Astyanax mexicanus: one gene and its partners. The protein of the gene in region 3 binds, or shares a complex with, the protein of the main gene of each other region. Links are inferred from orthologs where the notes say so. Each region holds a gene or a part of one and is shown on either strand. Other genes may lie near its edges. The genes, in order: ndufaf1, ecsit and acad9.

Region 1 (11,069 bases), on a different chromosome or scaffold from region 3:
ACAGAATATTATTTATTCTTTCCTTCATGCAGTTCATCATTTCACCCCGTCAAAGTGAGTCTCATATGTTCAGAAACTAGAGCATCTCCTCACCTCCGTTTGAGCACCTCTCTCTTCTCAATACGATTAAAGAGCTCCTGCTCTCTTTCTTTCTCAGTCATCTGTTCCAAACGTGCCCGGTCCTCTTCATCTCCCATGAGATCATCTCCGTACCCGTCCCTGAACACTTCATCCTCTGAAGACGAGTCTGAATCAGAGCTTGAAGAGGAGCTGTTGCTCTCAGAGTCAGACACCTCACCTGTGTGGATCAGAAAACATTAGCAATTTTTTTGCTAATTTGCAAGTGTTTACATTTTCAACACTTTCAAGGTTCTAGTTTCTAAATGATTGATATGCAGCATTTTTAATAAACTAAACTTTCTCTGTACTAATGCTGTAATTGTTTAAGGAACATACAACATACCATTATATAACATACATTACATTTATTATCATTATTTAACAACACAACAAATATACATACAAGGTCAGAAAAAACGTTTATTATCTATATATATATGTATATTTAAGAAGTTTGGATAGATTTTTGTTGCTAATCTGAATGTAGTGTGTTTCTCACTTACCCTCCTCTGGTGCTGAACTCTCCATTGAGCTGTCTCCATCTGAGCTGCCTGACGAAGCTGCCTTGTTGAGCCTCTTTTTTGTGGCATTCTTCTTTTCTGCTCCTTTACCGGGCTTCACCTTCTTTTTAGCTTTAGTGCCTCCAACAGTCCACTAATATACAACACAAAGACCACTGAAACATTAGAGCTGCACAATGAATTGCATTTAAATCGCAACTACAGTTGTTACATTTCTCAATGATTTAAACCCAATAAACGGCACATACTATTAGTAATTTCAATTAAATGGAAGCATTTTTTAGAATAGGCAGAAAATAATGATCTACAAAGATCTATAATATGACCACAAACAAATAAACTAACAAAGCAAAGGTCCTTTTGATTTAATTTGTAGCTCACTTAAATTAAAATAAAGTAAATTACAAGTACAAAAATTAAGTAAAATAAACCAAGAACAAACATGATTGATGCTACTTTACCTCATCTCCACTGTCAGAGGTTTCAGAGTCTGAAGATGCTGCTGGTTTACTGACAGGTTCCTCCTGTTCTTCTGAGTCTACCCTCTTTCTTTTAGCCAGGGACAAAAGCTCCTAGAAGACAACAGTACAGAAGACAATTTCTTGCACTGCTTTTTACTTTTTGGAAATCACAAGCTTAAATATGTCATAATTCAAAATAAAGTAATTTAGTTTAACATATTTATTTTTATACCTCTGTGATGAATGGACTTAATATTATTTATTCTATAAACTACTGACAACATTTCTTGCAACTTTCAAATAAAATTGTCATCTGGGGAATTTACTTGCAAAAAATTAGATACACTGCTCAAAAAAATAAAGGGAACACTCAAATAACACAATATAACTCCAAGTAAATCAAACTTCTGTGAAATTAAACTGTCCACTTAGGAAGCAACACTGATTGACAATCAATTTCACCTGCTGTTGTGCAAATGGAATAGACAACAGGTGGAAATTATTGGCAATTAGCAAGACACACTCAATAAAGGAGTGGTTCTGCAGGTGGGGACCACAGACCACTTCTCAGAACCTATGCTGTCTGGCTGATGTTTTGGTCAGTTTTGAATGTTGGTGGTGCTTTCACACTCGTGGTAGCATGAGACGGACTCTACAACCCACACAAGTGGCTCAGGTAGTGCAGCTCATCCAGGATGGCACATCAATGCGAGCTGTGGCAAGAAGGTTTGCTGTGTCTGTCAGCGTAGTGTCCAGAGGCTGGAGGCGCTACCAGGGGACAGGCCAGTACACCAGGAGACGTGGAGGAGGCCGTAGGAGGGCAACAACCCAGCAGCAGGACCGCTACCTCCGCCTTTGTGCAAGAAGGAACAGGAGGAGCACTGCCAGAGCCCTGCAAAATGACCTCCAGCAGGCCACAAATGTGCATGTGTCTGCACAAACGGTTAGAAACCGACTCCATGAGGATGGTATGAGGGCCCGACGTCCACAGATGGGGGTTGTGCTCACAGCCCAACACCGTGCAGGACGCTTGGCATTTGCCAGAGAACACCAGGATTGGCAAATTCGCCACTGGCGCCTTGTGCTCTTCACAGATGAAAGCAGGTTCACACTGAGCACATGACAGACGTGACAGAGTCTGGAGACGCCGTGGAGAGCGGTCTGCTGCCTGCAACATCCTTCAGCATGACCGGTTTGGCAGTGGGTCAGTAATGGTGTGGGGTGGCATTTCTTTGGAGGGCCGCACAGCCCTCCATGTGCTCACCAGAGGTAGCCTGACTGCCATTAGGTACCGAGATGAGATCCTCAGACCCCTTGTGAGACCATATGCTGGTGTGGTTGGCCCTGGGTTCCTCCTAATGCAGGACAATGCTAGACCTCATGTGGCTAGAGTGTGTCAGCAGTTCCTGCAAGATGAAGGCATTGAAGCTATGGACTGGCCCGCCCGTTCCCCAGACCTGAATCCAATTGAGCACATCTGGGACATCATGTCTCGCTCCATCCACCAACGTCACGTTGCACCACAGACTGTCCAGGAGTTGGCGGATGCTTTAGTCCAGGTCTGGGAGGAGATCCCTCAGGAGACCATCCGCCACCTCATCAGGAGCATGCCCAGGCGTTGTAGGGAGGTCATACAGGCACGTGGAGGCCACACACAATACTGAGCCTCATTTTGACTTGTTTTAAGGACATTACATTAAAGTTGGATCAGCCTGTAGTGTGTTTTTTCACTTTAATTTTGTGTGTGGCTCCAAATCCAGGCCTCCATTGGTTAATAAATTTGATTTCCATTAATGATTTTTGTGTGATTTTGTTGTCAGCACATTCAACTTTGTACAGAACAAAGTATTCAATGAGAATATTTCATTCATTCAGATCTAGGATGTGTTATTTGAGTGTTCCCTTTATTTTTTTGAGCAGTGTATGTATATATATATATATATATATATATATATATATATATATATATATATATATATATATATATATATATATATAATCAGTGTAAATAACTGCTGGAGAGCACACCAAGATGCATCATCCAGCATCAGTGCCTGACCACACTAATGCTCTCCTGTGGCTGACCAAAATCAAACCCCTAAAGCAATCTAGTGTCGATTCTCACCAGAAGAAGTGTTGACACTGTTTCCGCAGGAATCAGCGCAAACACTCAATTATTGCAACTTAAGTTAAGTTAAGGTTATGTTGTAGATCTAAACCACTGTTATATATATATATGTATGTAGGCGATGAAAGTGATAGTGATGATCACAGCACAGGGGTCAATCCACTCCTGGTTTATTAGAAAGACTTTGGCTAATCCACTGGTACTTATGGCAGTGATTGCGGCTCTGCTCCATCTCAACTGCCAGGATAAAATTAGCTCACAACAACACAACACAAAGCTAGAAGCCGGTTTTGAGTGAGTGAGTATGCTTAAATGATGACCTGCGATTTTCATGAGAACTGACCTCATTTCATATCATTTAGTGTTGGGTTTGATTATTACCTATTGTTATTATTATTCAACTAGAGAAAGTAAATGGGTTACACACACACACTACACATCACTGAAATTAGAAAAACACAACTGTATCAGTTTCGAAAAGCTTTTTGGTTACAGAGGGAGAATTTTTGACTATTTAAACCATCAACTCAGGGTTTAAATAGGGGCAGAATGCTCATATCAGAACTGAATGAGGTCTGAAAGAGACTGTTGAGCAACCGGTTACAACTTATCCACTAACTATTATCTAGTAAATCCACATACACACACATATACCTAACTTTCCTGTGTGTTTTGTTATTCGCCTTAGAAAAATCACATGCAATAATCCATGATAAAATTAGTTTACAACAAAACAACAACAACAACAACAACAAAAAAGCTCAAAGCCAGGGAGCAAAGGCTTTCTCGTTAAAAAGATTTTTTAGAGTGAGTGTGTATGCTTAAATGATAAACCTGAGATTTTCACACACAAGCAGATTTGACCTCATTTACTCCCAGAGACTGCTGGGGTTGATTATAACCTGCAATTCTTTGATTACAGACTTAAATGTGTGTTACACACTGCAGACATCACTGAAATAAGCATAAAACGCAAATGTTTATCAGTTCGAAAAGCTTTCTGGTTAAAGAGGGAGCACTTTTACTATTGAAAATGATCAACTCAGATTGAAAACATAGGCAGAATGCTCATACTGGAACTAAATGCAGTCTGAGGGACACTGTTGGAAAACTTATTAAAACTTATCCACTAATTCTATTATCTAGTAAATCCACAAACAAACACATATATATCGAGACAACTTGCCTGTATGTTATTCGCCTTGGAAAAATTACATGCAAAAAGCAAACACCGCACATGGATAGAATGGACCTAACATTAACTTAGCCTAACGCTAGCTACTCTAGCCAAATAAAGACTTAGAGAAGATGAGGGGTTTATTTATAGCCTATAATATACAGTAACTTTAACTATGAATAGATTAAATGTGTGTTAAAAACTCTGTAAGTAATATTAAACAGTATTCGACCGGATAGCTTCCCACGTTGGTGTTTACAGCCTCTGAACTACATCACTACGCTACTCAACACCTCCAGCGTTAGCTGCTACACGCTAACTCGCTAGCCAGCCCTTTCAGCCCAGTGTAAAACCGCGTCTTTCCTCTAACTGAGAATAAAAACAGGAGATATTACAGTAAAGCGGGTCTGTAAACAGACGGTAAAGCTGTTCTGGTGTAACCCTTCCGCAGGCCCAGGTTTTAGCTCCCCGCTAACGGCGCTAGCGCAGCTCCAGCTAGCTGGGTTAGCCAGGTTAGCCGCTAGCTCGGTTCTCTCTTGCTCCGGGCAGAACCCGGGCTGGATATGGACCTACGGTTCTTACCTGGTCGAGATTGTCGTCGCTGGCACTGTCCTCCGAGTCGGAGTCGATGACCACCCGACCTTTCCGCTTCTTCACGTTCACCATGGTTTAGCCCGTGAAGCTCCCGCTGCTCCGTTTGTTTGTCTGACACGAACGAGCCGCTTCTCCGCGAGACCTCCGAACACACGGTGGCGTGCACGCATTAGAACGTCGGTGACGTAGTTGCGGTCAAAAAAAAAAAAAAGATTCTGTGTAATAATTAAATAACACACATTTTACCTTATTATTTCCAATATTATTGGGATTTTCCATGTTTTTTTTTTCATAAAAATCTTCTTGTTCAGTCATACAAGATTACTAATTTTACACATTAATCTGCACCCAACCTGTATGTTTTATGATATCTTTATTTATTTGCAAAACAACAAAACAACAGAGAATATAAAGCCCAATAATTCTTTTAATTCTTTTTTGGTAATTCATCAGAAATGTGTCTGTATTATTATTATTATTATTATTATTATTATTATTATTATTATTATTATTATTATTATTATTATTATTATTATTATTATTATTGTATAAATGAATCAAGCAGTTAGTGTAATTCACACAGACATTGCAAATGGAAATAATAATGAAATAAATTGAATAACATAAAATAAGGAATAGATAAACAAATGACTAAACCAATAAATAGTTCCTTTGATCACAATGCCTTTTTATTCAATGTGTTGTTTTTCTTTTTATTATTTTTACAAGGCATTATTAAAGCTATACAGGAACACCTGCTGAACTATTCTGTAAATAAAAAGTGTTAAACAAACCAGAATATGTCAGGTTCAGATCAGGGGATTGTGAAGGACAAACATTTTTTTTTACTACCTAATATCATTTAATACGTGTCCCTTAATTGTTTTCACGTCTTTAATATGAATCTACAATTTAGAAAACGTTGAATGCAAAGAGGTGTGTGCAGACTTTTGACTGGTACTGTAGGTCTTATTCACTGTGTAATGTTTGGTAAATGTGTTAATGTTTGTTCTTAAACCTAAATATTATTTAATAGGAAACAGCGATTCCTGTTTGTTAAACAGAAGACGTATATTATCACTATTCAATGAAAAACATGTATATCTAAAAAAGCTACTTAACAGATAGAAAAGATAGAAAGAGAAAACTGATTTAACTTTCAATGAAAGTCAATGTAAAATTGGTTTATTTCAGGTAATTTTGGAGAATTTCTATTGGTCCATTCATCAAGAAATTTTGACACAGTGTAAGGGACCGTGTCTGTGTTCAAATCATGTAGTAAACTTAACATTTATAAAAGTGGTGATACTTGTTTTTCGTTGGACAGTGGCGATATGTGTTAGTTTATATTTAAGATTTTTTTAATTTTTATTTTATAAACTCCGCAACTTGCGCAACTTCGGAACGCGAGCAGCGTCAGCGTGTTTCCGTACGGGCTGTTTATGAGGGAGAGCGCAATGGCAGCCTAGAGGAGAGAGCACAGGGTGTAGAACTAATGCAGCGTTTATTTAATTTAACCTATTTATTTCATCCTATGCGTGTTTAATAGTACTGTGGATTAATACGAACTTTATGTATAATCTTTTAAACCGGCCGCTGGTGGATTTTGTGATTGTGTGTCTATCGTGTCTGTGAGTGTCAGTGTTGACCCGCATCACCTACATTTAACAAGCTGGGCTCCACATATTTTGCGTAAGTGCCTTCTTAAGTATGTGTGTAAAGTCCTTAGTTATACACTAGAGTTGTATTGAATATTTTTGCATAACGATAGGCCTACATTCATTACATTCAATGTACGTTGTCAAAAAACAAAGATCAAAACAAAAAAGATAATGTAGTCCGGGGATAGAGAGATACAGGAAATAGAAACAAAAAAAGATACCAAAAGTGTATATATAAGGAAGCCATGTCATCTACTGTTGGCATGCAGCACAGGCAGTGGCTTTTTTATTTTTCATATCAATAGCAGTGTTCAAATGTATTGAAGCTAAATGAAGGAATATATCTTGATATAATTTTTCCCCCTTATTAGAAACATACTTTTTTTTTTTTTCATTTTTTCCAAAGAACTATTTTGTTCTTTCTCCTAGAAGGTGTTTGAAAGATTATGACTGTGGTTTGCTCATCAGGTAAACTTTGGCAGTCATGGCTGTGTCCAGGGTGACACTCCAGACTCCAGCAGGAGTGTGTGGCCTGTTCAGGAGACAGCTTCTCCAGCCCAGCCTCTCACATCCAACCATCCTGAGCACCAGGAGTATCTATGGAGAATACAAGAGACCAGGCCAGCCTCCAGACAAACGGTGGCCCTGGGAGAAGATCCGCTTTGACTTCTCTAAAGGAGTTGAGGGTATACAAAAGCACTTTGGTCTGCTGAAGGATGAGTTTGTGGGCAGATTGAGGGGGCCTGAGGGTCGGCCCTTATTGGACCATATGCTGGAGCAGACACTGGTGCAATGGGAGTTCCGGGGGCCAGAGTCTCTGGATCAGTGGGTGGTGTCCTCAGACAAAGAAATAGGGGGCCAGAGTGAAGCATACCTGAAGCTGGGGAAAAATAACACTACCTGCATGCTGTACGGGACCCTGTGCTCGGTTCCACCTCGAGACGGGGAGACACGTTACAGTGGGTACTGCACACTGCGCTCCAAACAGACCCTGGTTAGTGATGGGATGCATTGTTTTGTATGAGTGGTGGGATGTTGGGTGATGTAACAAAAAATAAAGTATGTTGTCATATTAGATATATCAAGATACATCATTGCATTTTGATGACTGCCTGTATGTAGCACAATATCAATGTTATTTAATAATACATTTACAATATCTAAAAGATTGATTAAATATTGATTTTGTATTTGTGTTCTTATTCCCCTACAGCTCTCATTTGACAGGAAGAGGCATTTTGATTGGTCCACATTCAACACCCTATACATTCGTTTCCGTGGAGATGGGAGACCTTGGATGATTAACATTTCAGCAGAGATGTATTTCTCCCACAACAAAAATGACATTTACAGTTACTTCCTGTACACCCGAGGGGGTCCGTACTGGCAGGAAGTCAAGGTTTGTACAGCAAAAGTGAAAACAGAAGATGCTCACACTCACCAGCCACTTCATTAAAACATCTTGCTTTAAAAAAAAAAAAAACAACTTTATCTACACAGAGCAGATAATGTTTGAATAAGCTTGCAAGCCCTGTTTGGGGTGTTAGTACCTTATAAAGAGAGACATCCAAACTATTAAATAATAAAACACATGTTTAATTCCAAATTACACATTATTCCGTAAGTAGTGTAATATACAAGTCACAAAATGGCAGATTCTAGATGTAAACAGAGCATGGAATATTTCTTAAAGAAAATTATGTACAATTATATCATAATCTAAGATCTAGTGTCTAATATAGTTCACTATAGGGAGTACTGAGCTATGAGCAGAGGTGTCAACTACAAATACCTTACCTTACTTAAATAGAAATGTTGGTTATATATACTTTACTGGAGTAATGACTAGCAGATATTTTATTTCTTTAGCTTCGTGACTCTCATTTCATTTAAATATATAAAAAAAATCCTATTCAGATAAATCTCTCCATCCAAATAGTGTAAATCAGATTGTGAATGGATGTAGAGAAGTATAAACATATACCATTCTGACACCCTATTGGTTTATACGATCCATCACACCTGCACATCACATCATGCCCACAGTCAAGCGAGAACATAGCAGACGTACGTATTCTAGTAAGAGGATGATCTGTGCAGAGACTTAAGAGAAATTGAGACAAACGTCCAACTAAGCTTCTTTAATATATTTACATTGTATTAAAATACATTCCATATAAATCAAAAATTCAATTTTCAATGGGCATATATGCAGCTGTAACAGGACTAGTGCCTACATTATTATTTTGGTCCCCATTCCCAAACATACAGATGGGTGCCAGCATTTAAACAAATATTTATCATGATTTTTAATCCAGGATTTAGTCACATAATATTGTGATTATTTTTTCCCCCCCCCAGGGATTGGCACCAATAATACCAGGTGTTTCCAACACCTTTCGTTCACATTAAAAATACCCATGATCAAAAAACTTATCAAAATATAGTGATGGAGAAAAAATTTCCTTCTCAGGTTAAGCAGGCATCTATAGGAAATTTAATACTGTTTTTGTGCTCTTTTGTTTTATCAGATTCCATTTTCAAAGTTTTTTCTCTCAAGTCGAGGAAGAATACAAGATGACCAGCACTGTCTCTGGTTGGACAAGGTTTGTTGGACTAATTCCTCAGCTAAAAGCCACAGTAGAAAAGAATACCATTTTGAAAATATTGCTAATTTAAGAATGTAAATAGTCATTATTGCTGTAAATTAACACCTATCTGTTGTGTATTGTTTTGGGCATATTTTCAGGTGAACAATATTGGCTTCACACTGGGAGACAAAGCTGATGGCCCATTTCAGTTGGAGATTGACTTCATTGCTCTGTGTATTGACCGTGCTCACACTGAGGAGTTTGCATATGAAAAGTTTAAAAGGAACCCCGAGGTCCCCTAGGTGGCTGCAGGTGGACTCTCTACAAAATAAACACCTTAATTTATTCATTCATAAGGACTGTTCAACTGAAACGTAATGTAATACACGTTTACTCTATTAAAAAGCAGACAATGTACAAAACAAATCATTTAATAGCAAATAAAAAGCAGATTTTACACCGGACCATACTTTTTTTTTTCCCCTCCCACCCCTTGACATTTATCACCATCTTCATTTACCACAACTTGCATATTTACATAAAAGAAAAGATGTAGAACTTTTTAAGAAAATGGCTGGATATCTAAAAAAACTAGCTCTTAAACAAAGACAAAGGACAAACAATGTTAAAAATGTATCCAGAGTGAAAGCAGAAAAACAAAAAACTGAAGCCTTAAGTCATAACAAGACCACGCCTGGCATCAAGCAGCGTTTCCTTCTTTTGCCTCCTGCCCTGTGTGTGCTTAATGCGCCGTTCCTCCCTGCATAAGAAAAGGAGAAAATTCAGTTGATAAACAAACTGTTGGCTGGAATTCTTACACAAATATCTCAATGAGAATTAAAACACCAGAAAGTGTTGTGCAGATGTGCAATATATGGAAACTAAATTTCATCCATTACCACTAGTGGCAGCAGCAGCCTGCTCATAAGTCTTTGCTGAATGTTTTAACACACTTGCACTGACTTACTCACCTTGTCGGCACCTGGTGCTGTTTATAATTTTTCTGGTGGGATGGAATTGTCTGGGACTTGTTTAAGGCTGCGTTTTCTTTAGTTTCAACAAAAGGCTTCAGCTTTCCTGTGGGAATACAAAAAAAGTCTAGAGTAAACCCTTGTAATGGTGATGAGATCTAGGGCGTATAGAATCTTGAGAACCTCTAGTTATACAGTATTAAGATTTATTGTAAATATGGAGTCTTTGCAGATGCAGATATGCTGAAATAAGACCTTTTCTGAACCAGATTACTCGCCGGTAGACAGGTCAATGACAACATGCTGTTTGTTATGTGCATCATATGTACAGTTTACGCTGATCCTGAGTTATGAACATTGTATAATACTGGAATAGGTAAATTATCATAATCAAAACTGAATGAGTATCAACAGTATTAGTAACATAATATTGTCATCATCTTTGCACCTAAAGAACACGTTTTCTTAGTTGTGTTATATAGTATGGCAAATCATGCACATGTCTGAGAACACTCACCTGTGTGAGGCTTGTAGGTGAGGGGTCGAGAGAGGCTGGCTTTCAGATCAAATGCGTTTTTCTTGTTAGTTGATGGAGTGGGTGTTGTTCCACTGAAGACAAAGGGAGTCACTCCTGATGGTAAACAAAGAGGGAAAATATTTATTTACATTTTTCTTTACTAATATAAAATGTGCAATAATATCCTGGGTAATACACAGTCAGCTCTATTACTCCACCTCTTTTACTGAAAGCAAACATTCTAAATAAAAACCCTTGAACTCATGCTCAAGTCTCTCTATTTTGTTGCTAAATAAATTAAACAGAGAAACTGTCCAGTACACACTTA
Region 2 (11,460 bases), on a different chromosome or scaffold from region 3:
CTCTTGAAAATTGACAGATTGCATAAGACCTAAAAACACTTTACAAATATTTTGACAATTTTTTCATGTATAGCTAGCGGACTCTACAGCGCCCCCTAATTTGTTCATTTAATAAATTAGCTGTGGATGTGTCAAAATTTGTCTAATCTTCTCAAATTTTGGTAGGAGTGTAGATAGTATGACCCTGCACATATTTGCAATTGGCTTGTATTAGCTCCGCCCAACAGGAAGTCGGCCATATTGGAATTTGTAATATTTTTACACATTTTTCACAAACTCATTTAAACTGCTCCTAAAGTCTTTGTCAGATTACCTCTTATTTCGCTGTAAATGAACAACAGACATATTTGATGATAACTGCCAAAGGATTAGTTGATCGGTAAAACGGTGACCCAATGGCGAGCAATTGATTCACTAGAGACGCAACACTAAACCAAAGTGAAACCATGACACGGTCAGAAAACAGATTTTTGAAAATTCATGAAACTTGGCAAAAACACAAAAGACATCATTACACACATTTTCAGCATTGGTAGGACTGACTCCGCCCAACAGGAAGTCGGCCATTTTGAAATATCTGCATTTTACACACATTTTTTGTGTACATTGTCAAACTACTCCTAGCAAATTTGTTGAATTCTCTTGGTATTTGGTAAAAATAAACATTGAACATATCTGATGATAAATTGTGAAGGAATAGTCGATATCTCAAACGAGGACGAAATGGCAGATGGTTGAATTTGTGAGATGCCACATCAAAACAGGAGTTCAAAACCTAGGTAATGCCAGGTGTTTTGAGGAGGTTATAACGGAGAAAAACTCACAAAATTTGACCGGCCTGCTTATCTAAGGCTGTTCTTTGATGTAGAATTAGAATGTCAAATACATGTATTTTAACAGCGCTAAAGCGCCACCTGTATTTTAAATGGATATTTCACGTGTTTAACAGGATAGAAAACTCTTGAAAATTGGCACAATCAATAAGACCTTAAAATTACTTTTACCGGTTTCTCGGTTTGGCCCGGTACGATTTGCGCTGTTGTGCGAGGGCCCTACGTCCCCCTGTGACAGGGGGACAACTCGTTATTATTATTATTATTATTATTATTTTTATTTTTAAACTTCGCGCCCATTTTTGAGGCCTTTCTGATACTCGAAAACTCTTGAATTTTGGCACAGACATCAAAGCCGGTGAAAAATTTGAAATTTCACAGTTCCTGGGCTTGGGAGTTGATCAGGAGCTCTATAGCGCCCCCAAACGTTGCCAGTGGCCGGGATAAAGTTTGTCCAATGTGCACCAACTTTGGTACGCTCATTGACCTCATTATACCGATCAAGAATCACTTGGATTTATTTGACTCTGCCTAACAGGAAGTCGGCCATTTTGGCAGGAAGTCGCAAAATAAAAAGTTTCCCGTGGTGTTTTGGGTGGGTTACGATGTTCGAAAACTCATAAAATTTCACAGGCATATTGGGCATAGGCTGTACTTTGATGTAAAATTGGAATTTTTCATATTCATAATTTATCAGCTCTCTAGCGCCACCTATTTTATATGACATTTATAGAAAGCTCTTAGCCTCTTCTAAATAAGCAGACCCAATAATGCCTTTAAATGATTTTGAGAAATGTAATCGTTTTTCTGATGTGGAGCTAAATGACTCTACAGCGCCCCCTATTTGGTTTAGGCTAATAAATTAGCGGTAGCTGTCTCAAATTTTCCCCAATGTTCAAGATTTTTGGTAGAAACATAGATATTACGATGCCACACATAATACCCATTGGCATGTATTAGCTCCGCCCAACAGGAAGTCGGCCATTATGAAAAATGTTAAATTTTTACACATTTTTCACGAACTCATTCGAACTCCTCCTAGAGTCTTTGTCAGATTACAACTAAATGGTCTGTGGATAGTCTCCAGACATACGTGGTGCTAAATTGCGAAGGAATAGTCGATAGCTGAAACGATGACGTAATGGCGGGCAGTTGATTTAATACAGACACAACACTAAACCACATAGAAACATTAGCATGGTCAGAATACAGCTGCTTGGAAATTCATGAAACTTGGCAAAAACATAAAAGACATCATTACACACGTTTTCAGTGTTGATATGATTGACTCCGCCCAACAGGAAGTCGGCCATTTTGAAAAACGTGCATTTTACACACATTTTTTGCATACTTTGTCGAACTCCTCCTAGGGAATTTGTTGAATACTCTTGATATTTGTCAGCAATAAACTACTACCATCCGTGATGATAAATTGCGAAGGAATAGTCGATATCTTAAACGAGGACGAAATGGCGGACAGTTGAATTGCTTGAGATACCCCATTAAAATAGGAAGTAAATACATTCTGGTGTTAGTAGGTGTTTGAGGAGGTTAAACAGGTTGAACACTCACGAAACTTTACAGGCCTGCTTGATTTAAGCGGTCCTTTGATTAAAAATTTAAATTTCATATATACATATTTCATTGGCTCTATAGCGCCACCTAGGTTTCAATGCATATTTGACATTACGGAAATGCTCAAAAACTCTTGAAAACTGTCAGATTCCATAAGATCTAAAAACACTTTACAAATATTGTGATAATTTTTTCATGTGTAGCTAGCGGACTCCACAGCGCCCCCTAATTTGTTCGTTTAATAAATTAGCTGTGGATGTGTCAAAATTTGTCTAATCTTCTCAAATTTTGGTAGGATCGTAGATAGTATGACCCTGCACATATTTGCAATTGGCTTGTATTAGCTCCGCCCAACAGGAAGTCGGCCATATTGGAATTTGTAATATTTTTACACATTTTTCACAAACTAATTTAAACTGCTCCTAAAGTCTTTGTCAGATTACCTCTTATTTCGCTGTAAATGAACAACAGACATATTTGATGATAATTGCCAAAGGATTAGTTGATCGGTAAAACGGTGACCCAATGGCGAGCAATTGAGTCACTAGAGACGCAACACTAAACCAAAGTGAAACCATGACACGGTCAGAAAACAGATTATTGAAAATTCATGAAACTTGGCAAAAACACAAAAGACATCATTACACACATTTTCAGCATTGGTAGGACTGACTCCGCCCAACAGGAAGTCGGCCATTTTGAAATATCTGCATTTTACACACATTTTTTGTGTACATTGTCAAACTACTCCTAGCAAATTTGATGAATTCTCTTGATATTTGGTATAAATAAACATTGAACATATCTGATGATAAATTGTGAAGGAATAGTCGATATTTCAAACGAGGACGAAATGGCAGATGGTTGAATTTTTGAGATCCCACATCAAAACAGGAGGTGAAAACCTAGGTAATGCCAGGTGTTTTGAGGAGGTTATAACGGAGAAAAACTCACAAAATTTGACCGGCCTGCTTATCTAAGGCTGTTGTTTGATGTAGAATTAGAATTTCAAATACATGTATTTTAACAGCGCCATAGCGCCACCTGTATTTTAAATGGATATTTCACATATTTAACAGGATAGAAAACTCTTGAAAATTGGCACACTCAATAAGACATTAAAATTGCTTTTACCGGTTTCTCGGTTTGGCCCGGTACGATTTGCGCTGTTGTGCGAGGGCCCTACGTCCCCCTGTGACAGGGGGACAACTCGTTTAGTTTATTTCTGTCTGCATCCAGTAACATGCATGTGTGGTTACTTCAGTGTTTTCGTAACAGTTCCTTGTCCATATGACAACACTGGAGTTTAAAAAAAACTCAACATTAAAGCAAAATATGACATAACATGAGGACAAAATAAAGACAAAAACATTTTAGAAGTTCTGTAAATGTGTCTGGGGTCTAAATGACATCTTTCTGCAAATATACATCCATAAAAAATATTTTGCACTCCTATAAAACAATAGCCACTTGTGACCGAACTGTGAAGTCCAAACCATTCATACCAAACTGTGATGTCCAAACCGAGGTGCAAACAAAACCGTGGCACCCGTATTCACGATACGATACTAGTTCTACCTACCACACTAGTTTCCCTGTCGCCCACCGTTTACAAACTGAAACATGCAAATATTTACTATTTTCTGAGTTTAGAGTTTCATATAAAGTATAATGCAGCATCAGACAGGACAGGACCAGTACCACAAACAGTAATCACATTAATTCAGCTGATTTCTAAAAGTTCTACAGACCCAGCACACAGCAGACAGAACTGGAAACACACACACAGAGCAGTGAGTTACCAGATACTTTCACAACCGAGATATCTGCTCAACAAGCCACGACAATGACAGCTAGAGACTCTGAGCCGCAGTGCTTCCTTTTCGTGGTGAAACGGAGACATTTACAGCGAAAAAACAGAGAAGTCACAAAATTAGATAAGCATCACTTCATGACAACCCTCCTGGCTAAAAAGTTTTGGTTCTTAAAACATTTCTAAAATTCTTGGAATAATTGTTCTGTCAAGTTTTCTAAATGTTCTTAAAACATTTCTTGTGTCAGTTTTCATTTTTAGTTTTGGGAATGTAACTTAACTATAACTTTTATGATTGGTATGCATTATCATGTCACACGTTTTCAGAATGTCCAGGAACATTGTTTCTGTAACGTTACAGGCTCAACCATCCTAGGACCTTTTCATCACTGTGATTTTACAGAGCTATAGCTCCAGTTCTCTCTTACAGAGTGTTAGACAAAGGCTGAAGTGGGATCGTTTTCTTAATGTTACAGTTAATCTTCTTGGAACGTTCATTCCGGAATGTTTTTGTTTAACACTTTTAAACATTTTGGTAATGTCGCTGCAATGACACTTTTTGTTTTAGCAATACTAATACATGTTTCCATAATCTTGGTATCCATCCAGCTGGGAACGTCATGTGGAAAAGGTTCTCATAAGGTAATGATGCAAACTATTATTATGCCACACGTTTTCAGAACGTTTCTGTAACATTAGACCCTTTTCAAAAAGTTGCTAAACGAATTCAAAAAAGAAACCACTTCTTAAACAGTAACTACGATCCTTTATTGCGGCAAACGTTTTCAGAAGGTTTCTTAAACATTAGACACTTTAAAAATGTTACTAAACGTTTTTAGAACGTTCTCTGTTTGAATTCAAACGTGAAATCACTGAAGCGCTACTAAAGCGTAACTGTCATTTCAAATTCTCAGCAGGAGAACAACTAAACACTGGTTTAGATTTATTTCAGCTCTGTGATATTACACAGCTACAGCTCTAGAGTGTTACAGTTAACGTTTTTGAAACGTTCGTTCTGTCAGGTTTTTTGGATGTCGCTTTTAAACGTTATGGTTAAGTCGCTGCAACGTCGCTTTCAGTTTTGGGGACGTTAACTATGTAAAAAACGTTCCATAAGGTTGGTATCCATCCAGCTGGGGACGTCATGTGGGAAACGTTCTAATAACGATGTGGTGCAAATTATTATGTCAGACGTTTTTGGAATGTTTCTGGAACATTAGAACCTTTTTTTCTAAACGTTTTTAAACGTTCTGTGAATGTTCTCTGTTTGAATTCAAACGTGAAATCACTAAAGCGCTACTAAAGCGTAACTGTCATTTCAAACTCTCAGCAGGAGAACAACTAAACACTGGTTTAGATTTATTTCAGCTCTGTGATATTACACAGCTCCAGCTCCAGCGGCTGCAGTGTGTGTGGTGAGTGTGTGTGGTGTGTGTGAAGCGGAGTGACAGCGGCTCTGAGAGACAGACTGAGAGCAGGGTGCTCAGCTGAAGAGCGGCTACAGAGTGAGGGAGGGAGTTACTCACCGAGGCTGTTTGTTGATCCATCCATGTCGGAGTCGCGCGCTGCCGCCGCCGCCGCCGCTGCTGTTCACACCTCTCGGAAGTAGCAGCTCATGCTGGGAGAAGTGCAGTCCATTCCTGCCCAATATAAAAATCAGTACGGCGTTTAAGATCCGCGGTCCTCAAGTCTTAAAACACACTCACACACAGTGTGGACAGGAGCGCACGTGCGTGTGCGTGAAGTGAAGAAATGCAAGACCACTCCAAACTCCCCAACCCAGGAAATGAGCTGCGCAGCTGCGGAGGCGAGCAAGTGCGCGATGAGGAGAGAGAGAGAGAGTATGAGTGTGTCTATGACTGTGCGGATGGATTTTTTAATCCATGCAAGAGATATAAAAGCTGTAATCCAGTTAACTATGTTCACGCAAACTATTCCCCCCTCTCATTACTGAGACTCAGAACTCACTTATCTAAACTCCCGCTGAAGCGAGGCGCCACAGCTCCAGTTCAGCCCAGGAAAATAACCAAAAAAAAGAAAAGCAGAAAAGTTTTGACTGTAAAACTGCCAGTTCACTGCGTCCCCTGCCGACGATGCTGCAAACAACAGCCAGGACAAGAGGAGACATGAGGTCGCAACAGCCCTGCAACAGCCTAGAGGGCGCCAGAGAGAAAAACACTAAACCAATACCAATATTACAATGTTCTTTTGTCTGTTTTTGGTATCAATATTATTAAAAAAAAAAACGAATTAGGTTTTGTTTCTATTCATGTGTTGTTTTGTGTTTCCTGAAAAAAAAATTGAAAATAAGTTGATTAGGTGATTATTTTAGGATGGTCTCCGTGATTTCCTGGTGCGGAACTAAAGCGGCGGAACTATAAGCAGAAGGTGAATGTTTCCTGTGAGTGTGTGAGGACAGAGGACGGACCGGTGTTCAGTCGAGTTGTGCTACCTTGTCAAACCGTGCTACCCTAGTAGTATGTTTAACTTTAAAAATGCAAAAGAAGCACCTTATTAGAGCATGTTCTCAGCGGAAGTCTATGTAAATCTGTGGAGAGTATAAATCACTGTATTATTGTACAGTTTGTATAGTTGTGACAGTGAGAGGTCATTAGAAACTACTTTTGTATTAAAAAAAAAATAATTATTGTATTTATTATTATTAATTTCCATTTGTACTTTTTATGCAGTGGCAAGGAGTCGTTGTTGTTTAATGCACAAAAAACAGAATTTTTTTTTATTATTTATTTATTACACGAGAAATAATTAATAACTGTAGGTTAGCGCATGCGCAGTGCGTTTAGGAAGCACGTATCGATGGATAGCACAACTCGACGGAACACCTAGCCGAAGTATAGCTGGGTTATGGCGGCGTGTTGTGAAGGAGATGTGACCGCTGGAGATTTAGAGCTACAGCTCCATTAAACCGCCTTTAAACCGAGTCCAGACTCAGACTGCACCACGGGACACTATCTACCAGCCTGACCACGGTAAATAATCACACACACACACACACACACTGTATTAATACACCATGTTAACCCGGGTTAACCTACCGGCTCCGGCACAGGGTCAGTTACGGACCTGCCCGTATTAAATAACTACATTAACTTCAGATAACTTCAACTCTGAAAAAAATAAGAGACCACTTCAGAGGTTTTCAATTTGGTAAAATCAAAGGAGCTGTTTATCTAACGTTACCCAGTTATACCAGTTAACTGCATGTGCAATGTCAGTGCTTTGGTTTAAACTGTAACCACATTATTCTAGCTATGAGTGGATTAGAGCAGCTGTAAATTATATCATCATTTTTAGCTGTATATTAGTTATAATTGCCTAATTCTATAAGAGTTAGGTTGCTAATGTTAAATGTAATATTTTATACGTGTTATGTAATACTACATAATTCCTTATGCATTAGTTAGCTAGTTAGCTGTATCACTATTGTTATAGCTGTTCATTTTCTATAACTACAGTACTCTGTGTAACTATTTATGTTAGATAAGATTAATCAAGATTAATCCGTTTACAAGCCATGTTTATGTAAACTCACATTTGTATATTAAATGATTTTAGAAACCTAACTAGCTACTGTAAGGATTTCTTTCTTTGTTTTTATAGGTACATTTCATTATCGTGAATTGGGATAGAAAATAGAAATATTATACTGCCTTGTTTTCAGATTTGTTTCATTTTTACTGTATGCGATATTGATGATTGATTATTGATTATTAATATTTGTTAAGTGAAGTAAACTTAAGTGAAGTAAGTCCTATTCTATTCAATTATCTTTGCAGAAATAATGAAATCTCACCATGAAGATCACTAGATTTCTCATGCGAACCCAGCATGCTGGGTGGATCACTCTTTTCGTCAAGACACCTATCAAGCCCAGCTGTTTTCATGCGGCTCTCCTGCGGCCCCCAATCCCACGTATCTGCATTGGTCAAGTAAGTATTTACTTGACTGTTTGTGTTGACAGTTTAAAAGTACGACATGAACTAGCAGATTAGCAGGATTTTTACACAGATGCTACACTTTTTGTCCAAATATTTGTGGACACTCCTTCTAATGAATGCATTCAGCTGCCTTAAATTGCACCCAATAGAACAGGACTCTCTGGATCAGATACACAAATACACTGTTTGCACCATGCCTAATCAAGGTGTGGGCTAGACTGCTAACCAGCTAACTCACCAGGCATTGAGCTGTGGATCAGCAGGATTGTGTTCTCTGGAATTATTGTGCCTTTTTCCGTACTGTTTGGATGAGTTAGGGAAATGGAGATGAGGAGGCAGGGTGGTGATCTTCCAACGTTCTACCTTTACTAACTTTTTTTTTTGGTCACAGAATTCAATCATATTTTCACAGCAGTGCTCTAAAATGTCTTGTGTGCTTTCCTGGATGTTGGAGATTGTTACCTCAACTGGGACTAGATAAACTAGATTTAAGAAAATGAAAGAGCTGGTGTCTATATATGTTTGTTTGAATATGTATTTCTACATGTGCTGTTTTTTCTTTTGTTTTAAGGAGGCAAGATGGATTCATTGTGGTTCCACAGTTTACAAGGACAAGCCGGACAATTCAGATCTGAGCAAGTTATTTGAAAATGAAACGAAGGCCAAGTCTTTGGTCACACATGATGACTTGTTTGAGAGAACAGCTAAAGATGCAAAGAATAAAGCCAGTTTCAACAGAGTGGTTGATGTCTTCAACAAGCAGGACATCAGGCGCCGTGGACATGTCGAGTTTATTTATGCTGCTCTACAGAAAATGCCAGAGTTCGGCGTAGAGCGGGACCTTGCTGTCTACAATAAACTGCTGGATGTGTTTCCCAAAGAGGTTTTTGTGCCTCGAAACTTTATTCAGAGGATGTTCAATCACTATCCCAGGCAGCAGGAGTGTGCAGTGCAGGTGCTGGAGCAGATGGAAAATTATGGTGGGTTGTGTTTACCTTTTCTTTGGCCCAAAACTTACTTAATACTTATTAATCACATCTCATGGAATTTGCTAGGCTGGGGGTATCAGTTAAAAAAAAAAGAATAGGCCAGAATGCAAACCAGCACATAATCTTTGTTACAAAAAAAAAAAAAAGAAACATATTGAAATATCTACTTCTATAGTCTCCTGAATGGGTAATATGTCTTTAAGTTTTAGAATACTAAAGCTTCACATTTAAACATAATTGTCTTCACTGTCTTTGGATAGATAACATGATCGCTGCAACACTGCTGCAAAGATGCTGCTGTGTCTGTTAGCATTGTGACTTTAATCTAGATGAGCTTGACTCTTAGTATAGGGGCTAACCTGCTATGCTAAGAATCACCTGCAAACATGATACACACGGCTTATTTTATCTAACCAGCCCACTCTGTCTCAACACCTATCAGCAAGAAATCCAATTTAGGCAAAATACACTCTTTAAATCCAAGTATAAATTCCATAGCAGTCACCCAGGGGCATGTCTTAGTTAGTGGGTAGGGATTGACAATAATAAAAATTGGGGACAAAATCGAGATGAAAATGATGCATACATAAATTAAATGATTTAAGTGGAAAAAAAAAAAAAATTAAATGTCATAAGTAAGATGCTATACCACAAGACCACAGACTAAGGAACAATGGGCCATACATACATGAAAACAGCTTTATTATTAGGGCTGGATATCCAAATGTAATTGCAAAAAAGGTACCGACCAAAATGTTTTGGTATTATCGAGTACTGAAAGGGCCAAAAAAAAATGTCGCACACAAACTTGCTCACTCGTGCTGTCTCTCTGTCTGTCCTATTGTCTTTCCGTCTCTCGCTCACTCGCGCTGTCTTTTGCTCACTTACTCTGTATCTCGTTCTCTTGTTCTGTCTCATGCACATTCGCTCTGTCTCTCGCTCACCCGCTCTGCCTCATAGTCTCTTGCTCGCTCATTCAGTCTCTCGCTCAAGAGCCTTTTCTGGTGTCAGTATGAGTGAGATTTCTCATGTCTGCTGTTAATTTAATACATTGTTTAAAATTAATCATATTGATTTTTGTATTTTTTAGGTACAATTTAGAAAAAGGTATCAAAACATAGAATTTGGGCATCAAATTCAAAGTATCCTTATCAGTATCGGTATCGCTATCAAATTTTAAGACTATACCCAGCCCTATTTATAAGCCTTTGGAATTCTACTTGAGTCATGGAGCTATTATTTGTATCCTATTAAGATAGGAATTACAATGGTACGACGAGTATAACGATGTTGTTATTCGTATGCTGTGGCTTCAGTCACCAGTTGTCCACACATTTTAACACCTATGGAAAATTGTGGACCAGATGTGTTAGACTAGACAGCACTCTTCGCCACCATCAAAACACCAACTGAACAAATATAATTCAGAGGAATAGTGTTCAGAATCTACTGAAGTAATTGCTTAGATAAAAATTCTGTTAGTCCTAAGAATTGCTGTGTGAATGGGTGGAGCTAACTGTGGTAGGCTGAATGGTTTGGACATGCAAATGAGTTTCAGAGCTCAAAGAAATTCAGTTTTTTCACAACATTGTTTCCATGATATATATCGCATATAAATCCTTTTGCTTTAACACCATCAGGTTTGATGATAATAAAATGCTCACATGGCTCAAAGCTAAATGAAAAATAGTGTTTACAGTATTTGTGTAAACTAAACATGAAACATGTTTTTTCAGAAAAAAGTAAACCATAAATTGCATATCTTGCTGTTTTTCTGTGTTGATTTATATGTGCTTATCTTTAACCTGTCAGGAATCGTGCCTAATGTGGAAACAAAGGTCCTTTTGGTTCAGATCTTTGGAGAAAAGGGCCACCCTGTGAGGAAATATCAGCGTCTAATGTACTGGCTTCCCAAATTCAAGCATATAAACCCGTTTCCAGTTCCATTTGAGCTCACGCAAGACCCCATCGACCTTGCACGCTTCAGTCTCACCCGCATTGCTAATGACCTGGATGCTAAAATTACAGTTTACCAGGTATCGTATCTCTTCGATGTGTGATATGTACATAGTAAATTGATTATTATCCTTTGTTGAGTTAGGATGTAGTGCTATTCAGATATTTATTAATTTACTATTACTGTGTGTCTATTTTAAGTATCCATCAACAGACGTCACAGAAACAGGAGAGGAAGTCACCCAGCCACATATCGTAGGTAAGCGCTTTTTTATTTCTCTGTATTCTTAAACAGATAAAACATCATTTTTACTGAAGTTTCTTTAGACAGAAGA
Region 3 (10,461 bases):
TAATGATTGTACAAACCATGTAATAACGTAGAGAAAGAGTAGAGGGATGAAGATCTGAATGTACCTGTCCTCCAGCGAAGATCACAGGCGAGCCCGACGGTTTGGGTCTGTATGGAATGGTCACACCTTTTGGAGGAGACTACAGAGAAACGGTGCCCTGCATGAGTTTAGGAACAGCAAAATAAAAACAAGGCCCTGTCTCTTTAATCTGTAAACCAAAGAGCTTCTCCAGATCAGTTTTATCTTTAACTGTATCCTTAACGCTATCTGTTCTTCTAAGGAAAAAAAAAGCACAGCAGGTCGAATAATGAGTAAATCTGCAGGTTTCTCCTAAATAAGAGCTAAAAAGAAACAGAAAAGCTTTTAAAGCTCACTTGTAAAAAGGTGTCTGTTTTATCTTCACACAGTGCAGCTAATTATATAAGGTGTCAAAAAGTAAGGAAATGCTTAAATACAAATAAATTCATAAATAAAATTAATTAAAAAAAACATACAACGTATAAGAGAGCACTCAAAAATTATGAGTTTCTTTGATTTTACCAAATTTAAAACCTCTGGAATATAATCAAGAGGAAGATGGATGATCACAAACCATCAAACCACCAAACTGAACTGCTTGAATTTTTACACCAGGAGTAAAGCAGCATAAAGTTATCCAAAAGCAGTGTGTAAGACTGGTGGAGGAGAACATGATGCCAAGATGCATGAAATTAAAATTGTGATTAAAAACCAGGATTATTCCACCAAATATTGATTATTTCTGAAATTTTTTCAGGAATTTCTCATTTTCTGCAAATAAATGCTCTAAATAGATATGTAATAAAAACAATGTTCATTTTACTCAAACATAAACCTATAAATAGCAAAATCAAAGAAACTGATTCAGAAAACTAAGTTTTTAAGGAGATTTAGAGAAAAGAAAAAGAAATGCAAAACTCAAAATGGGACTATTTATTTACCTTTTCTTCAATCAAGCAATTCAAATGCACTTTCCCAAAAACAAAATATTTTAGCCTTTAAAAAAAAAAATTATAATACTAGAATAATTCAAAACCAAAACCTCCTACCTCCAGCATCACTACACAGATCTGCTTGACGCACTCAATGATGGACTGTATGGTTCCGGCGATGGTTATGGCTCGCTCTGTGGAGTTGGGCAGCATGTCTCCAGCAACCTGCACTTGTGCACCGGTTAACTTTAAGAGAAACAGAGATATCAGACATTACATCACCCTGAAATACCAGATTTACTATTCTATTTTTAATTTAGTAGTTTCAGACATTCCCTACCTCTCTGATTTCTTTAATCTTGCAGCCCCCTTTCCCAATGAGGGATCCGCACTGGCTGGCCGGCACGACGATGCGCAGGGTGACGGGGGGTTTGCTGGAGCCCGGGCTGTTAGATATGGAGCTGCTGATGTCCTGCGAGGAGAGATGATCACGGATTATTGGAAATGTTTAATAAAAACAACAGTAATTGCGCTAATAAATGAGGGATAACAGGAGGATGTACGGTTGCATTTTGCAGTTAATAAGACTCACTATTGGTGCAAAATTGGCTTAATTTCGGGTGCATATAGAACACTAATGGGTAATTACCACAATATATGAGTATCAATCAATCAATCAATCAATCGTACATTGAATGTAACTGAGGGGAAGTGAATACACAGGGAATAAATAAATAAATAAATAGAAATAGACCCCGCATTTTAATATGATTAAGATATTATAAAATAAAAAAAACAATATAAAACAAATAAAAAATAGAAAAAGAAAAACTGAGTTTAGGGGTAGGGGAACAAAAGCAAAAACAATAAAAAAACATAATAATAAAATTAAATGATAAGACAGAAATGATAAGACACATATCAATATCTACCAAGAATTTAACTTGAATTACTTGAGTAAAAAGTGTGAGTTGATACGACAACTTATACAGATTTTAGCTTTTGCTTTTAACCCTTTATGTAGTTCATAACCCTTTAATTTCTACACAAATGCAATTTGCAAAAAAAATTTAATTTACTAAAAGACTGCTTATAAAAAACAACATATCCCAATATTCAAAACTTTTGGGGAGAGATCAGTCATTCATTCTTTTTTTTGTACATAAAAACCCTAAATTATGCTTTATTTAGACTGGTATTACTAAATGTATGAAGATACTTTATAAATATATATGAAATTATAACATACATGGTTATTCACTGGAAGGACCCTAATGTTAAAACTGGAGGTCAGCTGGGGTAATAAATTACTTTATATTTAACATATAAAGCACAATTTAAGTGCCTAAATGACTCCAGGGTTAAATTGTACCTCCTCGAGTTTGTCGATGATCATGGAGAAGGCTTTAAAGATGGCAGTGGTCGGTCCTGCTAGAGTGATGATTCTCTCTGGACAGTTCCCCTCGGAGATGTTGATCCGTGCACCACTCTGCAAAAGAGCAAAATCTGTTTACTTTAAAAGTATATTAATAAATATATATTTCTTAAAAAATCCACAGCAGCATTAAAATTACCTCTTCTCTCATTTTCTTCACAGATTCACCTTTCTGTTTCAAACAGGAAACGCAAATAGATTTAGATACACATACAAAATCTGTATTTTAAATGTGGAAAATTAAGGAAAATTAACAAAAAAAAGTGCCAACCTTGCCGATTATGCTTCCAACTTCCTGTATAAACACACAAATTTAAAGGAATCACTTTAGCTTATATACATTAAATTAATTAACATACAGATTACTCCTCATAAATAAAGGTTATAGGCAAATATAAATATTAAAGCTTGTACTTTTTAGTACGCAAAATAGCTTAGTCTATAAAGTAGACTATAAATGCTGTACAATCTGCATCTTTTCTAAATAATGAATTAGGATTAAGGTTTCTAACTGATTCTTTTGCTCAAATTTATGATAAAATATACCCTTTATCTACAGATAATTTCTAAATAGCCATAACAATTATGTTTCTGTGGTTCTTGAAGAACTTAAAAGAAAAATAAAAGTAATGCTAATACTTTATGGTGGTGTCAATGTTGAAGAATTAAATCAGATTAACAGAAGCCTACCTTGCTGTGCATGAGTAGTCTGATGGTCAGCGTGACGTTGAGTCCTCCTTCAATCACACCAGAGTCCATTATGATGGCTTATATAGAGTTAATGAGTTGAATGTGATAGGAAAAGGGAGTCTTTGGTCACAAAGCTGGACCTGAAGCAAACGAATACAAAGAAAAAGGTTACAATTACATGAAGTGCTTCGGTCAAATCTACTGGACTGTTAACTGGATACCCCTCTCAAGAGTACATTACCAACTTGATTTACACATCTCTGTGTCTATGTATGTTCCTCCTCTAGCAGGTCTCCAGGGTTTATTTATTTTATTCCATTTTTTCTAGTCTTAACCTGAACTGAATAAACTGAACGTTGCACTTTTTGACAACTGAAAAAATAAATATATTTTTTAATATTATCACTATTATTAATCACAACATACAAACATGTAAAAAGCCTGTAAAGAGGCAACAAATATTACCGTAAAAAAGATTAAGAGGTCAATTTAGGTCCTTTAGAGTGAGTATTTTATTCCTATGGAGTCACATATATGAAGTATAGTAGCACAGTTGTTTTACCAACACTGAATTTGCATTTATGGATATGAAATATACCAAGCAACAAAAGTTAACTATTTACTTAGCTAGCTACATGCTGGATAATTGATCTATGTTATATATTATACTATATAACGTTATATTACTCTGATGCAATAGTGTATTCTTGGAATTATTTAGTTGTTTAGCTATTCAGTTAGCTAGCTACATGCTGGATCATTGACCTATGTTATATATTATATTATATATATTATTCTGACGTGTATTCTTGGAATTATCTTTTTTTAATTCAATGTTTAGTCATATAGTCTAAAATATCATTACGGCAAAAATACACTGAAATATCGTGATATAATTTTAGGATCATACCACCCAGCCCTATTTAATATAAGAAACTGGCTAAAGCTAGGCTAGGTAGCTAACGTTACAGCCACGCAGCTTGTTTGCTAAGCTAAGCTAACCAAACTGATAAAAAATAAACACATAACTAAACTAAAACACTAATTAAAGCAATGAAATTAGACAATTATGAGCAGTTATATCATTATAAACTTTAGTTAGAACCCCATTTTTGTAATTCTGTTCTTACTGAGGCCTGGCTGAGGGATTCAGGACCAGCTAACGCTAGCTAACAAGCTAATGCTAGGCTAAGCTAACTATATTAGCTATCCCCATAAGTACAGAACGGAGAGTTAGCTAAGCTAAATAAGCCATGCTACTTAATGCTATCCAGCGCTAGCAGGCCGCGCTGCTCCGCGCTGTTTCCCGCAGTGTCCCCCGGGTTTAGGAACCGGGCTGCGGTGATCGGAGCGCTTACCTGTCGGCGGGCCGGGGGAGGGTAGAGGGTAAAGGGGAGCGGAGGGAGCGGAGGGTAGAGGGGAAGGAGCGGGAGGAGGGTAATGGATGAAGGGGGGGATTTAGAGAGGACTCGGGGAGCAGGGAGAACCGAGAGTGCGCTGAAGCTCCAGTCCCACACAAAGACAACAAACAGCACACCCTCAACTTTCACCCTTCACCCAGACCCCGCCCCCGGACACGCCCACCGAGAGGAAGCTTTATTTTGCTTTATTTTTTACATTATTATTATTATTATTATTATTATTATTATTATTATTATTATTAGTAGTAGTAGTAGTAGTAGTACACATTTGTCTATTGTAAATTAAAGGCTGTTTACTACAGTAGTATACCTTATATACACCTATACACACTTTATATACCCTCATTTACACCTATATATACCTTATATACACTTACATACACCTTATATACACTTTATATACACCCTTTATACACTTATATACACCTTATATAGATTTATATACACATTTGTGTCTTTATTGCAATATATTATTATTATCATTATTATTATTATTATTTTGGTTCTAAAACTCTATTTATTTATTGAAAAATGTGTTAGATAGTTTTTCTTTCCTTGCATGCAATTTTTACTGTAATAAATCCCCTCTAAAATTAGCTAACTAAATTTCTGCAGGCAGGCTGTGTTCCAGTAGAGTACAGATACAGCATTTCAGTGCTTTTGTTTATAATCTATAATTTCTTAGTAATAAAATTAGTAATTGATTATGGCTTGACTCTAAAGCGAGTTAAAGTGCAGTGACGTCATCTCTGTGCGCGGGTAGCGGGTGAAGGGTGGCGGTGCTGCGGGCAGAGCGGTGGCGATCAGCGGATTATCAACATGAATTTTAGCAGATTATTATCGATTTCCAGATCATTAAAACTCTCTACATCTTTATTCCCGCCTCCAGCGAGATTAACAGCTCCTCTACAGCCCCGGCGCTCCGTCAGAACCAGCCCCAGCAGCGCAGCCTACGCTAAAGACCTGTTCCTGGGCAAAGTCAACCAGGTAAACCCACTTTATATACCTTATATACACTAATAAACACCTTATATACAACTTATATACCCTCACATACACCTTTTATACGCTAAAGACCTGTTCTTGGGCAAAGTCAACCAGGTAAACCCACTTTATATACCTTATATACACTCAGAAACACCATACATACACCTTATATAGCCTCACATACACCTTATATACGCTAAAGACCTGTTCCTGGGCAAAGTCAACCAGGTAAACCCACTATATACACCTTATATACACCTTATATACACTTATATACCCTCATATACACTTTATATACACTAAAGACCTGTTCTTGGGCAAAGTCAACCAGGTAAACCCACTATATATACCTTATATAGACTCATAAACACCATATATACACCTTATATACACTTATATACTCTCATATACACCTTATATATGCTAAAGACCTGTTCCTGGGCAAAGTCAAATAGGCAAACCCACTTTATATACCTTATTAACACCAATTAAAACATGGTATATACTTATATATCCGTATCTACGATAAAGACCTGTTCATGGGCAAAGTCAACCAGGTAAACCCACTGTATACACCTTATATACCCTCATAAACAACTTATATACACTCATATACACCTTAAATACGCTAAAAAACTGTACTTTACCTCATTATGTACACTAATTTTTACCTATATATCCTTATATTCCCTTGTATACATCTTTTTACGCTGCATATACACCTATATACACACGCGTATATACACCTTATATGCACTTATATACACTGGGAATGCTGCTGTTGCAGTGTAACTCTCAGGAACGCTGCAGTGCACTGTGTAATCTGAGTCAGGGTTTAGAATGACTGTAGAACATTTTGCCCGTGTATCAAGCGTTTCAGAGGTCAGATACTGATGCTGGGGTCGAGGTTAGTGAGGGTGTGACTGAATAAAACACACACATGTCATTTTTTTTATCTCTTTTTAAGTGAAATCGTGTAATACTGTAAGGTTTGCTCTTGTAGAAAGAGGTGTTTCCCTATCCGGAGATCAGTAATGAAGAGCTGCAGGAGATTAATCAGTTCGTGCCGCCGGTGGAGAAGTTTTTCAGTGAAGAAGGTGAGAGAAGAGATTCTTACTAGATATTTTAAGCTACGACCTTTACTGTCTGTTCCCACAGACACACACTGTGTGACATATTTTCACTGTTATGATAACTACAGTACTTTATTATATTTATTATACCGTAATGTCCTGTAATGACATTTTCCTTAGTTTCAATCCCTGTAAATAAACCCTGAGAAGTCCTGCTGTTAATACTGTATATCTTTATTAGTCGATTCAAAGAAGATCGATGAGGAAGCCTTTATCCCTCCTGAAACGATGGACGGACTGAAAGCACTCGGGTTGTTCGGGATCCAAATACCTGAGGAGTATGGTGAGTTCAGAAGACTATCAAACACATTATGATGATGGAACTGGCACTCATCAGGACCGCCACAGAAAAGAAAGAACAAGAGTTACCAGCCTCAGAAACATTTTCTCAGTCAGTTTTATGAGGTAGAGTCTCCTGGAATTCAGGCCTTCAGTTAACAGCTGTGCTGAACTCATCAAGAGTTAATTACTTGAATTTCTTATCTCTTAATGTAAAGTTTGAGAGCATCAGTTAAAGTAAAGTAGTGAAGAGGTAGAGTTACAGGTATACAGTGAATAGTGAATATTTCAGTAATGTTCTAATCCAGGTTATGAGAAGAAACAACTACTCAACTAAAAAAGAATAAAAAATATTTTAGGTTTTGAGAACCTTTCAAAAAAGTATCCCTGAGTGCAGTTTAAAAAAATGATGGAACTGGCACTCATCAGGGCCGCCCCAGGAAAGGATAGAAGAGCGAGAGTTTCCTCTGTTGTACAGGATGAGTTTATCAGAGTTTCCAGCCTCAGAAACCACACGTTAACAAACAGCTCCTCAGATAAGAGTATCTAAATACTTCACAGAGTATTTTAGTTTGTTTAACACTGTTTTTAAGTTACTACATGATTCCTAATGTGTTCCTTCATAATCTGATAGATCACTTGTATATTGTGTACTGTGTTTAAAAAGTTTTAAAAGTTTGATTTTGATCTGTACTTTAGGAGAACTAAAGTTTAGGAATATAAGTTTTTGTCTAAATGACAAAATGATGGTACGCTCATGAAAAACCTGGATAAGTGATGGAATTTGAAAATAGCAGTGATTCTCAGGCCTGGATAAGTTTTATAAAATTAAAATGACTAGAAAGTTTTGGAAAAGTCATGAAAATTTGGTCTATAAATCTAAAAATGTGCTTTAGTTTATTGAAGGAATAAATTTATTTTGAGCTACAAATACAAAACAAATCAGCTCAAAGTTAATTCAGTAATTTAGCTCTAAACAATAGAGCTCTCAGGATCTGACACACATTTTATTATTAAACGTTGTGTGACAGATTAATTTTAATTATAGTTTTAGTTGATTTTTGGTTTAAAAAATAGTATATTCATGAGAATTTGAACTTGAAGGCATGAAAAAGTCATGATAAAATCCTGTAAATGTATAGGTTAAAAGTTTATGATCCCTGATGATTCTCAGGAGGTCTCGGCCTGTCGAACACGATGTTCGCTCGGTTAGGAGAGATTATCTCTATGGATGGAGCTATTACCGTCACTCTCGCAGCACATCAGTCCATCGGATTAAAGGTGAGCTTTAGATTATTGATTTATGAAGCTTCTCTCGGACAGTTTTCTGTCCTGTGTATTTTTTATTTTATTTATTTATTTTAAGATTAATGATTAAAATACACTCATTTTTAAAGTACCGATACTAAACAATAAATTGGATATTGTACTGTTTTAAATGACAAAAATACTAATATATCTATATATGTATGTATATTAGTATATCCACTAATAGGGAGAATTATATAGAATTAAACCGTATACTGTCTCAATTAATGCACTGTTGTTGTTTTAGGGTATCCTGTTGGCTGGAACTGAGGAACAGAAAGCGAAATATTTACCCCGTCTGGCTTCAGGAGAGCATATAGCAGCTTTCTGTCTGACTGAACCCGGGAGGTGTGTTTTATTTAACATTTAACTGAACGTCTATTCTAATTCCTGTGTATTCTGCTTGAATTTTACAAAACCTGTGTCTTCTGTTTTTAGTGGAAGCGATGCTGCTTCTATTCAGTGCCGCGCCAAACTGACGGAGGATGGGAAACACTTCCTGCTCAACGGCTCAAAGGTTCTAATCATATTTATTTTTATTTTATTTCTAAGTTTTTTATCCCATTTTTTCCCCAATTTACTCGGCCAATTACCCAGTCCCCTCATTAGGACTCCCCCTAAAGCGCAGCGACTCTGTGGTTCTGATACATCAGCTCACAGACGCAGCCTTGTGCTGATCCACATCACCCTAGGAGTGATGAGGGGAAAGAGAGAGCGCCATCTACTGTACTGTACCCACCCAGAGAGAAACAGCAAGGACAACTGTGCTCTCTCGGGGCTCCAGCAGCTGATGGCAAGCTGCATGACCGGGATTCGAACCAATCATAGTGGCAGCGCTTTAGATGGCTGGACCACTTGAGCTAATTTTCTCATTCAAAATTGAATCATATTTAAGTGACACTCCCTGTACACTCTCTGCTCACTTTATTAGAAGCTTTTCTTTTATAGTTTTCTGCTGGTTTACAGTTTGATTCCAGCTATAAAAACTGTTTTAAAGCAGAATTTGTTCGCAATTCCCGAGCTTTTAGTCTTTTTACAAGTTCAGTTGACATGAAAATAAAGGTTTACTGAAATTATTATAATAATAATAATAATAATAAGAAGAAGTATCTCTGATAAGTCTCTGAGGAATGTTAATTCTTTATTTCTGTGTAATTCTCTCTTTAGATATGGATTTCTAATGGTGGAATCGCTGAAATTATGACAGTGTTCGCCAGAACAGAGGTGGTGGATAAGGACGGGCAGAAGAAAGACAAAATTACAGCTTTTATTGTAGAAAAGGCGTTTGGTGGGGTGAGCTGCGGCAAACCGGAGGATAAACTGGGCATCCGAGGATCAAACAGTGAGTTTATACATTTCACAATGCATTTATTTAGTGCACTAGAATAACTTTAATAACTTTACTAACTTTACTTGTATTTTTAAAAGGTGTAACGATACAGTCTGCTCACGATTCATTTCGATTCTGGATTCACAATTAAATTTACTCCCAATATTTGAAATACATTTTGAATAACAAGAAATTCATTTTTATTTATTTTAATCATATAAACAAAAAAAAATGCTTGTGTGCTTTATTTTTATTTTTTATATTTAGCTTACGCCCACTGGTTCTTTGTCCTGCACTGGAAGGATTGTGACATCTGCTGTTTAAACAATGCAACTGTGTAATATTTCATAAATGTTGCAACAAACCTCAAGTTTTTCAATTGCGATGCATCGATATAGACATATGTATATGTACACAGTTTTTTATTTGTTTTTTTTTTTTGTAGTTTTTAAACCTTGTTTTTCTATCAGTTTTATGTAGTGGAGCAGGCGAGGAATTCCATTCTTTTATGTATCTGGTTTTGGTTTTTTTGGTATTTTTGGTATTTTTGGTTTAGTATCTTGTTGTATTAGTTTCTCTTCTCCATTATTTATAACACATTTTGCTTGATAAAATTCTGAGCCATTTTGATTTTAAATATATATATATATATTTGTATCTGTGTTTATCTCCAGCCTGTGAGGTGACATTTGAAGACACAAAGGTGCCAGTAGAGAACGTGATTGGGCAAGTTGGAGATGGATTTAAGGTAAATGCTTAAAACAAATCTATTTATTTAATATTAGCTCTGCATCTTTTTTTGTTATTTCAGTCATTTCTCATTTTCTGTAAATAAATGCTCTAAATGAGAATATTTTTATTTGTAATTTGGGAGAAATGTTGTCTGTAGTTTATAGAATAAAACAACAATGTTCATTTTACTCAAACA

The links.
Region 1: acad9 (region 3) and ndufaf1 share a complex: the UniProt entries of both Homo sapiens proteins name them as parts of the mitochondrial complex. The link is inferred for Astyanax mexicanus from reciprocal best matches to the Homo sapiens genes ACAD9 and NDUFAF1.
Region 2: the proteins of acad9 (region 3) and ecsit are in contact, whole or in part, in a cryo-EM structure (PDB 8PHE), measured with the Homo sapiens proteins. The link is inferred for Astyanax mexicanus from reciprocal best matches to the Homo sapiens genes ACAD9 and ECSIT. Residues at the interface, in NP_054768.2 of Homo sapiens: Leu180, Thr181, Asp188, Ala189, Ala190, Ser191, Ile192, Lys228, Lys239, Asp240, Lys241, Ile242, Phe293, Ala296, Met297, Leu300, Ile431, Met434, Tyr435, Leu438, Thr439, Leu441, Gln442, Gly445, Thr449, Leu516, Gly520, Lys521, Ile523, Met524; in NP_057665.2 of Homo sapiens: Pro321, Glu322, Glu323, Trp324, Asn325, Leu326, Tyr327, Tyr328, Pro329, Met330, Leu332, Asp333, Leu334.

What each region holds. Positions count from the first base shown.
Region 1 is NC_064414.1:7,799,476-7,810,544, reverse strand, and holds ndufaf1 (complex I intermediate-associated protein 30, mitochondrial), read left to right. Parts: upstream 1-6,429; 5' UTR 6,430-6,693; intron 6,694-7,130; 5' UTR 7,131-7,146; coding exon 7,147-7,656; intron 7,657-7,875; coding exon 7,876-8,061; intron 8,062-9,193; coding exon 9,194-9,268; intron 9,269-9,411; coding exon 9,412-9,555; 3' UTR 9,556-9,710; downstream 9,711-11,069. Other genes in the region: RNA polymerase-associated protein RTF1 homolog, read right to left, coding at 94-298, 624-774, 1,103-1,213, 4,990-5,073; nusap1 (nucleolar and spindle-associated protein 1), read right to left, coding at 9,926-10,013, 10,225-10,330, 10,742-10,855. UniProt on the Homo sapiens protein: As part of the MCIA complex, involved in the assembly of the mitochondrial complex I.
Region 2 is NC_064415.1:31,114,156-31,125,615, reverse strand, and holds the start of ecsit (evolutionarily conserved signaling intermediate in Toll pathway, mitochondrial), read left to right. Parts: upstream 1-7,034; 5' UTR 7,035-7,211; intron 7,212-8,018; 5' UTR 8,019-8,036; coding exon 8,037-8,171; intron 8,172-8,751; coding exon 8,752-9,160; intron 9,161-10,981; coding exon 10,982-11,205; intron 11,206-11,326; coding exon 11,327-11,384; intron 11,385-11,460. Other genes in the region: eml3 (echinoderm microtubule-associated protein-like 3), read right to left, coding at 5,748-5,772.
Region 3 is NC_064431.1:33,844,302-33,854,762, forward strand, and holds the start of acad9 (complex I assembly factor ACAD9, mitochondrial), read left to right. Parts: upstream 1-5,231; 5' UTR 5,232-5,315; coding exon 5,316-5,483; intron 5,484-6,017; exon of another isoform or gene 6,018-6,022; coding exon of another isoform or gene 6,023-6,040; intron 6,041-6,486; coding exon 6,487-6,580; intron 6,581-6,797; coding exon 6,798-6,899; intron 6,900-8,069; coding exon 8,070-8,176; intron 8,177-8,450; coding exon 8,451-8,551; intron 8,552-8,641; coding exon 8,642-8,720; intron 8,721-9,370; coding exon 9,371-9,545; intron 9,546-10,207; coding exon 10,208-10,281; intron 10,282-10,461. Other genes in the region: poly(rC)-binding protein 2, read right to left, coding at 65-139, 1,068-1,196, 1,291-1,422, 2,323-2,439, 2,525-2,557, 2,657-2,680, 3,076-3,144. UniProt on the Homo sapiens protein: As part of the MCIA complex, primarily participates in the assembly of the mitochondrial complex I and therefore plays a role in oxidative phosphorylation.